Linked DNA regions of Coturnix japonica. The protein of the gene in region 1 purifies or fractionates together with the protein of each later gene. This does not show direct contact. Links are inferred from orthologs where the notes say so. Each region holds a gene or a part of one and is shown in the gene's direction. Other genes may lie near its edges.

Region 1 (8,037 bases):
GCGGCCGCCGCTGCCGCCGTGGGAGGGTGCGGGCCGGAACGGGCGCTTTGTTTCTACGCCGGCCCGGCCCGGTCCGGACGGCGGCGCGGGCGGGAGGGGAGCGCGACCGCGAGGGGTCGGGGGGCGGGGGGGGCGGGCGGGCGGGCGGTGGTGGTGGTGAAGGAACGCGGCGGTTCGCTGCTTAACGCCCCCGCCGCTGGCTCCGGGCTCCGTCCCGAACTTGTTGGGAGCTTCTCGGGGAGCGCGTTACGGAGACAGCGGGCGAGGTGAGTCAGTGTCTGGCTGCGTTGTGTAAAACCTGCAGTGAGAGCCACCCCGCCCCCGCCAGGCAGCGGCGTTAGGGCTTCCCTTTGTGTCAAGGCTCCTTTTGAGGAATTCCGTGCGGCTCTGGAAGCTGGAAGTATCCGGGAAGTGCTCCGCTGTCTCTTTACGAGAATTGGGTGGGCTGCTGCACGTGCTGTCACTTGAATTGTTCTGCTGGAAGGTGTTTGCAGCTTAACGATTCTGCTTCTCGCGTTTGAACAGATATCTGGAAACATGGCTACTGAACATGTGAATGGGAACGGTACTGAAGAGCCAATGGACACTTCTGCTGCGGTTACCCATTCTGAGCACTTCCAGACGTTGCTTGATGCTGGTTTACCACAGAAAGTTGCTGAAAAACTAGACGAAATTTACGTGGCAGGTAAGCAGTGAAACTTGCCAAACCTTCCTAGGTCCTAGAATATTTCACTGGCTTCTGCTGCTGTCTTTGGGCTATCTGAGCAACTTCATGTGGTTTTTAGAAGTACAAGAACTACAGTCTCAACAAAATACATGGTGTTTTTTTGTGCTTGTTTTCTTGTTTGTTTTTATCATTCAGTGTTTTAGTTTATCATGATGTTTCCCAGAGAGCAGTCTGGGCCAAGCTGCTTGGGGTGGGTGGTGGGAAAGAGAAGTATGAGTATAAGCATAGTATTACCTGGGATAGGCAACAGCTGACACTTAGAAGGAGCAGGTGATATGGGCTTTGTGAGCTTTTAGTGTAGTTGTAGATAATGTCAAGTCACTGAAGCCTTGGTAGACATCATCTGATGTAAATGATGCTTTGTGGCATGGTACTGGAGCTCATAGATTGTCATTGTATTCTGCCTGTCAGGCATGGCAGTAGCATAGTAAAGCTTGATTTTGGTGCTGTAGTTGCTTTGAGTGCTGCAGTTTGCAGTCTCCTCCCAGTCATCACAGTACGTTGCTCATCAAGCCAAGTCAGTTTTTGATAGATCCTTTAGAGTTCAACTTAAGGATACCAAAACTAAACCTGCCCCGCGTGACATGAGAATTCAAATACATGAATGCATTAACTCTTAGTCTAATTCTTATGATTTTAATACTTCTGGATGAAAGTAAGCAAAGTGCACTTAAATTTTAACTTAGGGAACTGAGTGATTTCTTAGTTATAGCAACTTACTTTTAGCCAGCAATTGGTTTAGGGGACACTGAAGTATATTAGGTGTGTTAAATATGATGAAACAGAGATTGCTACCCAAATGTAATTAGTAATTTTTTTTTTTCTTTTCTCTAGGGCTAGTTGCACATAGTGATCTAGATGAAAGAGCAATTGATGCTCTTAGGGAATTTAATGAAGAAGGAGCCCTCTCTGTATTACAGCAGTTTAAAGACAGTGATCTCTCACATGTTCAGGTAACATGAAGCAATTCGGAATATAATTGGTGAGGGATAAACTGCTGGTAGACTGACAAAAGGTTTGATTAAACCTCTTCACTGAATCATGTGTCATATGTGAAATGTGCTCTGTGGAAGTTCAAGGAAAAATTAGGTTCTGGTTTGTAATGTTTGCAGAACTGAAGATTAATGCATCTCTTGCAGAACAAAAGTGCATTTTTATGTGGAGTCATGAAGACGTACAGGCAGAGGGAAAAACAGGGGACCAAGGTGGCAGATTCTAGCAAAGGACCAGATGAGGCAAAAATTAAGGTATGTGACTAAAAGATTAAAGCTACAAAGACTGTGTTGTTGTTTTTTCAAAGTGATTGTGATACAGATCTTAAGTTTTAAGGAACCGTGCTTGCCTAGGAAGGGATCTTAGAGATTATTTTATGATATGGGGGGTTGGACTCGATGATCTCTAGAGGTCACTTCCAACCCCTACAATTCTGTGATTCTGTGTTATTTACAAGCTTTCATTTATGCTTTCATCTTAGGTTGTGTCTTTAAGAGAACTTAATCTGTCTGTTACTAGAACTGAATGTGTATTGAAACATGGAAAGCATTTGGCAGTTTGGTTTACATTCTGTGTATTGGCTTGTTGGGACAGTCAGACAGCTTCACAGTTAGAAGTTGTAGGAAACTTGTCAGCATAGCTATTTGAGTTCCAAGTACATGACTTTAGCTACTGGCTTGGTTTGCTTCTCTCAGTTCAGAGAGAAACTCCCCAACAGGGAGATAGTATGAGTCAAAATTGTCTTAAAGAATACTTTACTTCTTCGCATGAGTCTTCTGATACCAAGAAACACTTGTAACAGGAGTTAGGTGTACTACAGTTTACATTAGATACTGTGATAAGCAACTTTACCAAATGGAAAGGACAAAGAAGTATGTTTAGTTGAAATCTTGGAAAGTTGAGGCAGTCTTTTGTCTTTAACTTTATATGAATAAAATGGAAAATCCATGTGATGCAGATTAAAAATAAGTATGTGGATTGTAAAACTGGCATGTCCCTTTTTCTCCTGATTTTGATTTTTTTATAATAATTTATTATTTTATAATAATAATTTATTATAATAATAATTAAACAGCTGGTATACGGTTCTTGTCATTGCCACATAAAGCATCAATAATATGTATTAAATAAAGTATCGTAGCTGTTATTGCTGATGGCTCCACCATTTAAAATTGCTCTGCAATTTTCCAGTTGTGAAATCAGCTTTTGATTGAGTTGTTAAGCGAGCAGTTCCTTTGCCTGCAGAGTTGGTTCGTCTTTGTACAAAGTTATTAAGAAAAGCCACTTTTCTGAGGAGCTGCTGTGGATATCAGCGTTCTGAACTTCAGTTTATAGTTGGTAACGAATTTGTAAGTGTGTGCAGTGATGGTAGCAAAGCTCAGTTGTGCTGCACTGCTGTATTTTCCCACAAGGAATTGAAGGGAGGAGGAGGGACAGCATTGCAGGAGGAAGGAAGTTTTATTACCACTTGAGTGGTGGGATACCTGAAGCAGAAAGAGCACTGTTAGTGTTCCAGGAGTTGTAAGCTGTTGAACATGTGTTCTTTAGCTTCACACTTATGAGTAATCTCATTAAGTGAAGGGAACTTCTCTGCATAAACGTTTGCAGGATTGGGCATGCCAAAACAAGAAGTGGCTCGGGCTGCTAAGATCTTCCTAATTAAAGGGAAGCTCAGTGTTCTAATGCTTGGCCTCCTTTTTTTTTTTTTTTTTTTTTTTTTTTTTGCATGTATGTGTATGAAAATGAAGGAATTGGGGAAAACTTCATGTGAACCTCCTCATTTTCTACTGTTTCTTTTCATGGCAATTTGAGTAATTGTTCTGCAAGTTACTTACTTGTTGAAGCACCAGGCTTGTTCGCCTGTGAGAATTTCAAAGCAGTACTGTTAAACATGAATTTTAAGCATGTCTGTTGTCTGTGAATGAAGTACATCTCAGTCAGCCAAATTTCCATGTGATTTTAAAATCACAGAATCACAGAATTGTAGGGGTTGGAAGGGACCTCTAGAGATCATCGAGTCCAACCCCCCTGCCAAAGTAGGCTCCCTACACATCACACAGGTAGGCATCCAGGCAGGTCTTGAACATCTCCAGAGAAGGAGACTCCACCACCTCCCTGGGCAGCCTGTTCCAGTGCTCCGTCACCCTCACTGTAAAGAAGTTCTTGTGCACATTCATGCGGAACTTCCTATGCTGTACTTTCATCCCATTACCCCTAGTCCTGTCCCCACGCGCTACTGAAAAGAGACCAAAATGTTGGGTTTTCTACTTGCAGGCACTCTTGGAAAGAACCGGCTACACTCTTGATGTAACTACAGGACAGAGAAAATATGGGGGCCCTCCTCCAGATACTGTGTATTCAGGACAGCAGCCTTCTGTTGGAACAGAGGTAAGGAGGAGATAACTTATGTAGGTGCATTTGTATTGCTTGGGTGTATTTTTTCCTTATAAGCAACACTCTGTGTCTGTTGTAGATATTTGTAGGTAAGATTCCAAGAGATTTGTTTGAAGATGAACTTGTTCCGTTATTTGAGAAAGCCGGACCTATATGGGATCTCCGCTTGATGATGGATCCATTAACTGGTCTAAATAGAGGATATGCTTTTGTCACATTTTGTACTAAAGAAGCAGCTCAGGAGGCTGTTAAGCTGGTAAGTTTCTTCTTCTGCCTTTTGTTTCTTTTCCTTTTTGGTAAGAACATTGTGGCTTTTAAGCAGTTGTCCTTATGCTTATGTCTGAATGCTTAAAATTAAGCTGTGTCATTGTTATATCATTTCACAAATGTCCACTTGGCATTTAAAAGTATTTCTGTGTTATCGTGAATGTAAATCTTTGCTGGACAGGTGTTAGGCACAGGATAACGAATAGAAAAAAAGCAAGGAAATTTGGTCCAGTTCGGTGTGCCTTTACTATATACCAGAGCTGTGTTAGCTGTGGTGACTTCTGAGCTGTCACGGTTTGGATGAGTTCTGAGGAAAGCGCTGATTGAGTTGCTGCAGTGCAAAGGAGTTGGTCGGGCTTTGTATGATTTCTGCTTTGCTGATGTACCAGCAGAGGGCACCACGGGAGAAAAATGTGTCTAAACTCACACAATTTCATGAGATACTTGAGGGGAGAGAGAATCACTTTTAAGGCTGTTTAAACAGACTGGAAAATGACAGAAAAGCCACGGGTTAAAAAGTTTACACTGTTTAGACAGAGATGTGAGGTATTATAATAGACAACTCCTTATGAGCAAGCTTGTTTTTCTTGGGGGTTGGCCTCTTCTCTCGTGTAATCGGTGATAGAACTAGAGGGAATGGTTTTAAGCTGCGTCAGGGGAGATTCAGGCTGGACATTAGGAAGTATTACTTCTCGGAAAGGGTAGTCAGGCATTGGAATGCACTGCCCAGGGAGGTGGTGGAGTCACCGACCATGGGAGTGTTCAAGAAACGTCTGGATGTTGTGTTGATGAATATGATTTAGCTGGGAAGTATTGGTGATGGTTGGACTAGATGATCTTCTAGGTCTTTTCCAACCTTGATAATTCTGTGATTCTTAAAGACCCCCTCCCCCTTTGTCTTTCTAGTTAAGTGAGATGTGAATCTTTTTGAGCTAGTTGCTTCTGCGTTGACGTGGCTGAGGTGATCCTAAGAGTGTGAACCCTGCTCGTTCTGAGTTACACTGATGCTGTATAAACCCAGTAGGGTTAAAATCTCTCTTCTTTAATAGGGTGCACCTTAGACAATGAAGTTACCTTGTTGGCACGTTAATAATAAAAACCAATTGATAGAGACAAATAAGGCTGAAGATAGGACTGTCTCCCAAAAAGTATCGAAGTGTCTTAAAAACAAAAACATGGAAGTATTAAAAAAAAAAAAAAAAAGAGGTATCTGCTGTTTAACTTTTTAAACAAGAATGTTCAGTATGCCTGTGCACAATCCAAATACACTTGGGAAAACTCAGCTGTTTGCATGTACCTCTTTGTACTTTCATTGTCAGCTCAGCTATTTATAATGTGTGTAAACTCTTCAGAGTTGTGCACATGACTTACCAAAAGAGTGGAACAAATCAAATACGTTACCAGAGGTCCTTACTAATCGAAGAGTTTTTTTCCTCAGCTGCATTTTGCTTAAATGCAGCATATTTCTTTGAGGGTCTGAGAAGTCATTTGTTTCCCTAGAAGTAACATGTCAGATGCCTGACCTCAGTCTTGTACTCAGTGATACAGGGGAGGAAGGTAATTAATGCCTCGGTACACTTGATCTTTGATAAAGCAGTTACTTGTCATTCAGTTAGATACCTATTGAGGGTAATAGTTGAAAAGTGTTAGGAATGATAGCGCAGATTTTCAGTCTTCATGCTAATTCTCTCTGACAAATTCTACAAGATGAGGTTTAGCTTTTGAGTGGTCTTGACCATAGCAGGCTGGCTGGCTTGTTGTATTAGAAGTTGCTCAAGTTGTCAAGGAGTGACTTGCATGAGAATGCAAGTCGACAGGCTGAGGGAGTTGGGTTTGTTCAGCCTAGAGAAGAGAAGGCTGTGGGGTGACCTCATTGCAGCCTTTCAATACCTGAAGGGAACCTACACCCAGGAGGGGAGTAAACTCTTTGAAAGGGCTGACAATAGCAGGACAGGGGGAAATGGATTTAAGTTGAAAGAGGGAAGATTTAGGTTGGATGTTAGGGGGAAGTTCTTCACTAGGAGAGTGGTGAGGCCCTGGAACAGGCTGCCCAGGGAGGTTGTGGATGCCCCGTCCTTGGAGGTGTTCAAGGCCAGGTTGGACGGGGCCCTGGGCAACCTGATCTAGTAAATATGTATGTTTGGTGACCCTGCCAGGCAGGGGGGTTGGAACTACATGATCCTTGAGGTCCCTTCCAACCTGGGTCGTTCTGTGATTCTGTGAGAATCAGCAAAATATGCCTGTGGAACTCTGCTGAAAATAGTGGATTGTTTGAAATAACTTTGATATGCTTCAGACAAGCAGTGGAATGGTGCTGTGGCTTGATACCAAGGAGACCTAAAGATATGAACAGTAGTTAATTGTATGTCTGATACTTCATCCAGTGTGTAGTCCACCATCTCTGCCCTGTTGCCAGCTGCTTAAGTGGCATCTCAAGTGTTGTTCACTCAAGCACCACCTGTCAGAAGTTGGGTGTGACTTCTTTCAGGCATCTCTTCTCTATCGGAGTGTCTGGTTTGCCTTCTGATTCTGTACTCTGAGCATTGTGTTTTATACACACACACACTCAGTTCTTCCTGCTGTTTCATATGAAGTTGTTAGTTTTTAGTTTTGGAAGTTATTTTGGAAGGATTACTATTACTGTGGGCATGCACAGAATCACAGAATTGTAGGGGTTGGAAGGGACCTCTAGAGATCGTCCAGTTCAACCCCCCTGCCAAAGCAGGCTCCCTACACCACGTCACACAGGTAGGCGTCCAGGCGGGTCTTGAATATCTCCAGAGAAGGAGACTCCACCACCTCCCTGGGCAGCCTGTTCCAGTGCTCTGTCAAAATAAGGCACGGAAATAAGAACCAGGGGGTTAAGCTTGTGGGAGATTATATACCTTATGCTGCTATAATTTGAAGTATTTTTTGACCACAGCAAATAGAAGTTTGATCAAAGTACAGGTACAGGTGAATTATGCAAGCATTCCCCTGAAGCAGTTTGCCAGCGAGGCCCAGCAGTGCAGCTTGTTCACCACTAGAAATAAACCTTGGGTGAAAGTGAATGAAATGGCGAACCAGATTGTAACCTTACTTCACCCGTCTGTGAATAGGTTCTTGAAGAACTCAGCAAAGTAAGAATGCTCTGTAGTGTCTACAGGATACTAATGTCTCTGTTGGCTTTGGGCGTGGATTCAGTGGTGACAGGAGAGAAAAGCGTTATGCTGCCCTTGCTAATCTTGTGGCCTGACTGTTGTGGCACTTAATCCAGAATTGGGCCTGTGTGTGCCACCACAGAATCACAGAATGACCCGGGTTGGAAGGGACCTCAAGGATCATGTAGTTCCAACCCCCCTGCCTGGCAGGGCCACCAAACATACACATTTACTAGATCAGGTTGCCCAGGGCCCCGTCCAACCTGGTCTTGAACACCTCCAAGGACGGGGCATCCACAACCACCCTGGGCAGCCTGTTCCAGGGCCTAACCACTCTCCTAGTAAAGAACTTCCCCCTAACATCCAACCTAAATCTTCCCTCATTTAACTTAAAACCATTTCCCCATTTCCTGCCCCGTGCCTTATCTAAGTTTGCTAACTATTTACCTAAAAAGCACCAGCTGTATATTTAGGAGCACCTAATTGCAGGCTGCCTTGTCAGAAGTAGGAGAAAGA
Region 2 (8,607 bases), on another chromosome or scaffold:
TAACAAAGAGACAACAGTGCTTGCCGTGACAGTAAAGGAAGAGGCATTAAATAAAACAGCTTGCCACAACGTGGCTTCTGACTAAGAGTGAAAAATGTAATGGGGAAGAATGTACTTCGGATAAACAGACATTCTGTTAAGGTAAATGCAAAAGTATGTGCCAGTAGGAGGGAAAAAAACACGTCTTCTTCCTGTACAGTCACCATCAGCACCCATTTGCATGAAGCAAGTAAGGAGAGCGGACTTCCTGAGAAGCAGAACAGAACAGTGTCGTGGATAAGCAGAGGGGACATACAATTTACTGACAGCTTTCATAGAACTCTCAGGGTCTGTTTGGCCAGCTGGGAGGGAAGAGAGGAAAACAATCAGTAAACAGTCATTTACTGTGCACCTCTTAAAGTCCTTGCTAGCAGTCCTCAGTCTGTCTCTCTCTAAGAGACAGAGAACTTGAGAAAGGCAAAAAGTCTATGTGGTTGCTGGAAAGCAAGCAATGATGGTGCAAAATCAGTTGATACAGTTCATAGCTGTCAGTGAGATGGTCTTTGTAGACACTCACCTGGTAGAAACTGCTGTGGTACAAGGCTTGAGCCAGATACAGCGACGGATGGACCATTATTTCAGGGTAAGTGGCAGGCATGCCCATAACTTAGAGGAAAAACAAAGGAAAAAAGGAAATAACTTATTAAGGCAGAAAAAAGGAAACAACTTATTAAACTTACATACTAAAAATGGAGGTAAGGATGGAGGACGAGAGAAGATAGGGCCCATTTTATCTCTGCATACAATCTACCCCTACTACAGTCAGATTACAGGAAAGGGAAATAGGGCAGCTAACATCTCAACCAACACAGGAATCTCAGCACTTCCCGGATGCTCACTTCCAAATGTCTGTATTTGCATATGGAGATACTAATAGAAAAGACCCCTTGTGTGCTGAAGTGAGAATGCACATGAGTGCCCTGCAGCAGGACAAGCTGTGGCCCACCCTCCGACCCAGCAGCAAGCAGACGGGACAGGAACTTTGCTCCTGCAGCACCAGCAAGGACTGTGAAGTTCTGAGGCAGCAGCAACTTGATGACGTGCAGCGGGGTTAGAGCGGAGGAAAACCAAGAAAAGCGGGGATAGAGCGGAGGAAAACCAAGAAAAGCGGGGTTAGAGCGGAGGAAAACCAAGAAAAGCGGGGTTAGAGAGGAGGAGAAACAATAAGGGAAATCAGATCAAACCAGTATTTCTCATGGATAATAATACATGGATCTGTTACCTCCAGGCACACGTACCCACCAAGGTTACCCTGGATAGCCCATTCCACTGCCTACATCCACATTCATCTCATGGTGGGACCTGAGTTCGTTAGCAGACGAACAAAGACTGAAATGATAACATTCATCTCCATGTTCTTGCCCTGACATGGTTATTCATTAGGAGTTCTTCCTAACGATTGTTCAGTTCCTTCCTACTAGGGAGCCACTCCTAATTCTCTTCTATTCGGGTTGTTTAATGAGTCACTGACTTTAATAATAATTGTTATTAACCCTTCCCTTACACCGCTAGCAGACCGCAATGTGTTGTGCTGAGTAAAAAGCTCCTCGGTGCCTTTCCTGTGTTACGCCATTTTCTCACACGCCGACTGATTCCTGCAGGCTTTCTGCTGCTGGTTGCTGAAAAAAAATACCTTGTTTGTCTTCATGCCTTCAGTTAATTGCTTTTTAAAATCTTATTCTACCTGCTTTCCTGTGTAATTTTGCTCTCCGTAAATTATACTGCTTTATCATTGCCTTCTTGTCCAGCCAAATATGTACTTAGGTAAAAAACAGATATTTGTGTCAAACAACTTCTTCAAGCTCTGTATTCCCCTGCTGGTTTACCTCCCTCTTCTCTTTTCTCCCAAGGAGGGAGGGCTGCATCCATTTACACACAGTGAGCCTGCAGCACTCAGTAACACTGTGCCCATCTAATGCCATGGGAAGCATCACAGAGTTAAGAGTTCAGGTGCTTTGGACTAGTTTTCCTTTTTCCCAAACAAACAAAGAATAAACACCGAAGTTAACTTAAGAAATGTTTTATTTCTATGCAACTTGTCATTCCTAAGAGCACCAAACCTAAATATCCTGTGACATAAGTACCCACATGTTGATTTGTCCTTCAATCGGCAGCGACTGCTTGTTTCTTAAGGATAATTTGAGCACGGGTTGTCCTCTGTGTGGATCTCTTAAATGCCTGTTTCAAAGAGCACAACATGGTTAAAGATCTGATTCTGAATAGTGTATTGAAGGAGCACGTAACTGTCCCTTGGCTGTCTGTGATCAAACCTTGTACTTCACACAGCCACAGCGTTGATTATGCGTAGGCATGTCTGAGCAGCTGCTTTCTATGCACCTCATGCATGGCAGCACTTGCTCTTCTGACCAAGTTTTGGGCAGTTTTGGGGTAGTTAGAATTGTTAGAATCTTCTGTCCTCACATTAGCAGTGCTGCCGTATTTTGAATGCTTCTTAGAACATTCTATGTGCTTTATTGTTTAGATGCTATCATAACGTGATTGTTTACTTCGGGAACCACGCTCAGACCTTTACAAAAATGGAATTCTACTAAGAAGCGTATTTCCCATTGACTACTTCCCTGTCCTCAGGTTGGGGCATTCACCTCAGGTGCCAATCCAACCTGAACCAACTCTCCTAACGTGTTTTAATTTGACTGATAAAATATGGGTGTGAATGGACAGCACACACACTCCATGTGTTCCTGACACTCAGCACACAGTGCTTGGGCACCGTGTTATTCCTCCGAGCAGCCAACTGCTGATGCACAACTCCGGGCCTTTTTCATACGATTCCATGCAACTACAGCCAGGTTACCCGGTGCTGCCGGCACTTTGCCGGGCCGAGTGGCGCCGTACGGCCCCGCACAGCACATCACAGCTCCGCTCGGGCTCCCACCTCCCTCCCCGATCCTCCGCCCCCGCGCAGCCCCCTCCCCTTCCCCGCCACCCGCTTCCGCCCGCTGCCCCTCGCTCCGGCGCATGCTTGGGTTATGCAACAGCGGCGGCGGGCGGGCTGCGCGGGCCGCGCCGCGCCGGGGCCGCAGGGCAGGGCAGGGCAACGAGCGGGGCCGTGAGGGCGGCGGACACCGAGACACCGAGCGGCGGCGTTGGGGGCTCGCTCCCCCCCCCCTTCCCCCACTTCAACCTCCGCTTCCCACCCCGCGCGGTGAGTGGCAGCGGCGGCCGCCGCCAAGTCCCGCCCGTTCCGCTCTCCGTGCTGCAGGCGGCGGCGGCGGCGGGTTGGCTTCCTGCGCTGTGCCGCTCCCCCCTCCCCCCCGGCAGTCGGAGCCGCAGCGGCAGCAGCCCGGATCCCCGAGCCATGGCTCTGTGAGAGCAGCCACATGGCGGCCGCGGCAGCCATGAGCCCCCCCCTGATCCATACGACCCCCCGCTGAACGGCCGCCCGCAGCCTCCAGCGCCCGCCCGGCCCCGCCGCTCCCACCGCCCGCCCGCAACTCCCGGCCCGAGCCCGGACCGCGCCGCCACCACCGCCACAGCCACAGCCGCCTCCGCCGCCGCCGCCGCGGGGCCTCCGCTCGCCCGCCCGCCGCCGCTCGCCCGCCCGCCGCCGCCCGGTGCTCACCATGGGAGTGCAGGGCTTCCAGGACTACATCGAGAAGCACTGCCCCAGCGCCGTGGTGCCCGTCGAGCTGCAGAAGCTGGCGCGGGGCAGCTTGGTGGGGGGGGGGCGGCAGCGGCCCCCGCAGACCCCGCTGCGCCTCCTCATCGATGCCGACAACTGCCTGCACCGGCTGTACGGCGGCTTCTACACGGACTGGGTGAGCGGCGGGCAGTGGAACCACATGCTGGGCTACCTGGCGGCCCTGGCTAAGGCCTGCTTCAACGGCAACATCGAGCTCTTCGTCTTTTTTAACGGCGCCCTGGAGAAGGCCCGGCTGCACGAGTGGGTGAAGCGCCAGGGCAACGAGCGCCAGACGGCGCAGCAGATCGTCAGCCACGTCCAGAACAAGGGCACCCCGCCGCCCAAGGTCTGGTTCCTGCCGCCCGTCTGCATGGCGCACTGCATCCGCCTGGCCCTCATCCGCTTCCACATCAAGGTGAGCCCCGGACCCGCTCCGAGCGGTGCCGGGCGGGGCGGGTTGCGGGGCCGCGTTAAGATGGCAGCGGGGCCTGCCCTGTGCCTGCCCGGCCGTCGGGGCACCGCAAGATGTCGGCCCGCGGGGGCGGCCTCGATCCGCGGGGATCCACCGAGCGAACGCTGCGGGGCCTCTCCGAGACCGGGCCCCGTGCCACCATGTTCTTTAGGGGCCGGACTCGGCGTGCTCAAAATGTCCCTCCTCAACCCGAGGAGTTGGGAGGGAAAGAAAAGCGGCGGCGCGCGGCTCTGCAACAAGTCCCGGCCGGGCCGGCGCGCTCCAACTTGCGGCGGGCGGTGCCTCGGAGCTCCGGGCCCGGAGCGGGTGCGGCCTTGCTGTGCCCCGTGGAGCCCCGCTGGGCCCGGAGGCCGCGGCCTCGTTTCCTCGCCTGTCCGCAGCTGTGGCTGTAGAAGCGCTGCTGAGAATCGGAGGCGATTTGGAAGCGGCTCCCGGCCCACGCGTTTTCTTGTAGAGGGGAAATAGTCGAGTTCACCGACTCGCAAAGTTATAGCGTGCAGTAAGGGTGGTAACCTCGCTCTGGTTGTGGGTGCATCATCAATCTCAGCTTGTTGTGGAGATCCTTAGTGAAAGCGGCCTTTGGGTAACATTAAAATGCACGCTAAAATCTAAATGTTACCGCAGTACTACAATAAATAGCATGCAATACAAAACCGCTGTTCTAATGGTGATAGGAATTGGATGTTTGGATACGTTGGACTCGCTCTGACATAGGCAGCATTAAACACCGGTTCCTTGATGCTGAAGTGCTGCTCTTGTCAGCGGTGTCACCTGTAGCACCGTGTTTGCTCTCAGGCTTAGCGGCAGCATTAGCTGCTTTGCCGTTTTGTGGTAATAGGCCTTGTTGCTAATCTCCACAAACAGTTTTAGGATGTGTAGCGCTGGGGCCTCTTGTATAATCCTCATATAAAAATGGAAGGGAGTTGAGTTTTGCTGGGTGGAGGGTGGTGGTGTTTGTGTGATGGGAGCCAGCCGCGTGGGGCCGTTCCCTGCTGCTGTTGGCAGTGAGGCAGCACCGAGCTCCGTGCTGTGCTGTGCTGGCAGTGCACAGGGGATGGTGTGCTCTGCTTGATGCCTCTGTGCAGCTGTCAGGAAGCTGCTTGGGTTGGTTCACATCCAGGGTAGGTGCTGTATTTCATGGTTATGGTGGCAGATATAATATTCTCTGTTCGCTACTGTTGCTCTTGAATCATATTCTTGTTCTGTTTTTCTTCTCTTACGTAGTTTAATCTCTTTAGAAGTTGGCTTTATTGCACAGATCTTTCCCATTCTCCCCCCACTCCTTTCCTAGCAGCCCCTCTGGTGGGCACGCAGCAAACGGAGCTCGCACGTGTGATTGTTGTTTGCACATAGGGGTGACTTTATTTACACATGCACGAGGCAGATCCTGATTCCATCGCCAATCCCGGTGTTATCTCACTGTTTACTTCGAGCAGCTGAATTTGAGAGTACTGATTTACTTTAAATACAAAACTCATTTTCATACTTGCAGGAAACATTTGAGCTGTGCAGACCTGGGGACTGGCTGTGGGCTTAATCTCATTTGGTAATTAGAGAGGAGCGAGAAAGGAGCGTATTCCATCCAGAACAATTACAAATCACTCACAGATGGTTTCAGCAGGATGCAGAAATAACAGGTTCCTCCCAACGACAACACGTATCCTACGGGCTCCTGGCTGTGCTGTGACCTGGTGTTTGTCTGCTTGAGGGAGGGGCAGTAATTCCTACAAGGAGCTTTTTAACACGAAAGTATGTTTGGGAGAACTTAAATATTTCATCACCTCAGATCTTAACACCTCCCCTACTTTGTTGGGACTTTATACTCGGTGTCGGAACACACACGTGCCTGCTACTTGCAGACTTCTCCCTCTGGCCCAGCATCTTTGTTTGCATGAGATTTGGTCTCAAAACCCTCTCCAATTCCCTCCCTATTCCATCACAGACACGTGTGGCTGCCTGGTTGCATCTGCACCCTCTGGTCCCCTGCTCTTGAGAGCTGCCGGCCCTGGCTCTTGCCCTGCACAAGCTTTGTGCTACAGCTTGTCTGTTGTGGGACACACAGCTCTCCTCCTTTCAGCCACCCGGTGACTGGAGTGTGAGTTGTGGTGTTACATAAAGGGCTCCGGGCTGGGAGCGCTGTGTCAGAGTGCAGGAGGGGGTTGGGGAGCGTGGAAAGGAGGAAGCAGATCCGAGCAGGCTTCCTCTATGTGTGCTGTGTGCCCACAGCGCTGCCGGAGATCATAGCAGAAACTTGCTTGGTGTGCACTGGTGGTTCGTTGATGGTTGGTTTAATGCTCATGTGTAAGTTAAATTGATCTGTCCATAAAATAAAAGCAACAGGGAATGCCTTAATTTATACATAACAGGACCCTTCCCTGAGTTGGTCGTGTGGCACTTAGAGCTGTTCTTGCTGTGTGTGCATGGGACAGGGAGTTTACTGGGAGAATGAACACTCTTGATCCTCAAACACAATTAACTTTGAGAACCAGTGCAGCATAAGCATGTTTCCAAAGGAGTCGTGTTTTCATAGCACTTCAATAAGGAAGGTAGCATTGGGAATAGAGCTCCATGAGCTTCCCCTGGCAATGGGTGCAGCTCTGTGTGGGGTGCTGGGGACTTTGCTGAAAGGGAGAGGCTGCATGGGAGAAGCACAGAGTGAGCAGCTTGTGTGCAAGGCTGTGGTCAGTGCTGGGGTAGGAAGTGCCTTCAAGACGGCAGCAGGCAGTGGGTGGTCACACGAGGCTCAGTGTTGGGGTGAGCTGGTGGCTATAGGCCATGACTGCAAGCCAGCAGCAGCTCTGGCACTGGCACCACACAGTGCATTGGCTTTGGCACACAGTTTGTGCTTTCCTGTTCTGGTACAACTTACTGTGTTCCTTGTACCTGGTGAGACTGGGTTTGTGCAAGACTTGTGAACTGCTGGATGCTGTTTGTGTAGATGGTGAACGCATTGAATGGTCTCAGGGGGATTTGAAGGTGGAAAGAGGAAGCAGTTGGGCTTCTTATGGCACATGGGTGTTTGGAAGTTAAAGAAAATCACCCCTGCTGCCTTGGGGTGGTTTGTTATTGTTAGAACAGTGCCATAACACTTGCTAAGTGATCTTGTGCTGGGGGTGCTGTTGTGGGGCACTTTGGCATGGAACTGCTGAGTAGCCGCAGCCAGAGGGTCTGTTTCCCGGAGCTAACACAGGCTTTGCTGCAGTAATGTGTTTAGAGCTTGAGTGTTCCTGTTAATAAACAGTTACTTCAGATGGGCTGAGCAATGCATCATGCACTCCAATGTGTAGGCCTGCAGCACTTGGCGTTGTGCTCCCGAGCACTCCTTGCAGCCTGTCCGTATGTGCCGTGTCATCGGATTTTCTAATTACTGTAAATATTCTGCAGGTGTTTCAAACACACGTTTACAGTTTCAGAAAGACAAATTATATCATCATGCATGCTCTGAATCAGTGCTACCATTTTGCACTAATTACTCTGTCTTCCACTACAGGTTGCACAGAGCATTGAGGATCATCATCAAGAAGTAATTGCTTTCTGCAGAGAAAAAGGTTTCCATGGTTTGGTTGCGTATGACTCCGATTATGCATTGTGCAACATCCCATACTATTTCAGTGCCCATGCCCTAAAACTGAGCCGTAATGGGAAAAGTCTCACAACAAGCCAATATCTAATGCATGAAGTTGCCAAGCAACTGGACCTGAATCCAAATCGCTTTCCTATTTTTGCTGCTCTTTTAGGTAAGTAAAGTAATACAGGAACTCGATGCTACTAGTCAGACTTGTGATTTCATTTCCTATTAAATGTTTTAAAGCGTGTGTGTGATTTGACAAAGCATCTCGGCAAAACCATCCTTTTGTTTTAGTCATTCAGGCTGCTTTTGAGGTGGGATGCTATTTCTCTTCTTTATGTTTTATTTTCTAATGAGGTCGGGCAGATGCCACGATTTGTAGCGACCCTTGAGCGATGTGGACTGTGGCTGCATGGAAACAGGAGTAGGAAGTAAGAATTCTGCAGAGCTCCGCATTGCCAAAACGTTCTCAGTGTTGGGGGCGGAGAGGGGAATTGAGGACACTTGGTGGTTCTGCTGGTTCTGATCTGACACTGCGCGCGAGGTTTGATTTTAATCATACGAATTTCAGACTGGAAAAGTGAACTTCTGTGTCTTCAAAATAATGTATTTGAAGTGCAGGTTTTTGCATTGCGGGGACTTCTCTGCCTCCACATCAATATTGAATCAGAAATTCAGGAAAATTCAGTAGATCACCACAGAAAATCTGAATGATCAGCTTCCCTCTGCTCCACCAGCTGTGTTTGAATGGCTCTTTAACCCTCCTGCTTCTAAGGCTGAGTGGTGCAGGATTTTTAAGGACAGTAGATCAGACTAAGTTGAGTTTCACATCTTTGCTGAAATGGGGCAGTTTTAACACGCTGTATTCCCACTGCAGTGCTGTGG

What was found.
Region 2: the proteins of SYNCRIP (region 1) and FAM120A purify together in Homo sapiens (co-immunoprecipitation; 3 studies listed by BioGRID and IntAct, counting the BioPlex papers as one, with this or other methods). This does not show direct contact. The link is inferred for Coturnix japonica from reciprocal best matches to the Homo sapiens genes SYNCRIP and FAM120A.

The regions. Positions count from the first base shown.
Region 1 is NC_029518.1:70,016,694-70,024,730, forward strand, and holds part of SYNCRIP (heterogeneous nuclear ribonucleoprotein Q), read left to right. Parts: intron 1-243; exon of another isoform or gene 244-266; intron 267-525; 5' UTR 526-537; coding exon 538-685; intron 686-1,561; coding exon 1,562-1,680; intron 1,681-1,866; coding exon 1,867-1,974; intron 1,975-3,994; coding exon 3,995-4,108; intron 4,109-4,193; coding exon 4,194-4,370; intron 4,371-8,037. UniProt on the Homo sapiens protein: Heterogenous nuclear ribonucleoprotein (hnRNP) implicated in mRNA processing mechanisms. Component of the CRD-mediated complex that promotes MYC mRNA stability.
Region 2 is NC_029527.1:4,485,848-4,494,454, reverse strand, and holds the start of FAM120A (constitutive coactivator of PPAR-gamma-like protein 1), read left to right. Parts: upstream 1-3,566; 5' UTR 3,567-3,623; coding exon 3,624-4,097; intron 4,098-7,644; coding exon 7,645-7,891; intron 7,892-8,607. UniProt on the Homo sapiens protein: Component of the oxidative stress-induced survival signaling. May regulate the activation of SRC family protein kinases. May act as a scaffolding protein enabling SRC family protein kinases to phosphorylate and activate PI3-kinase.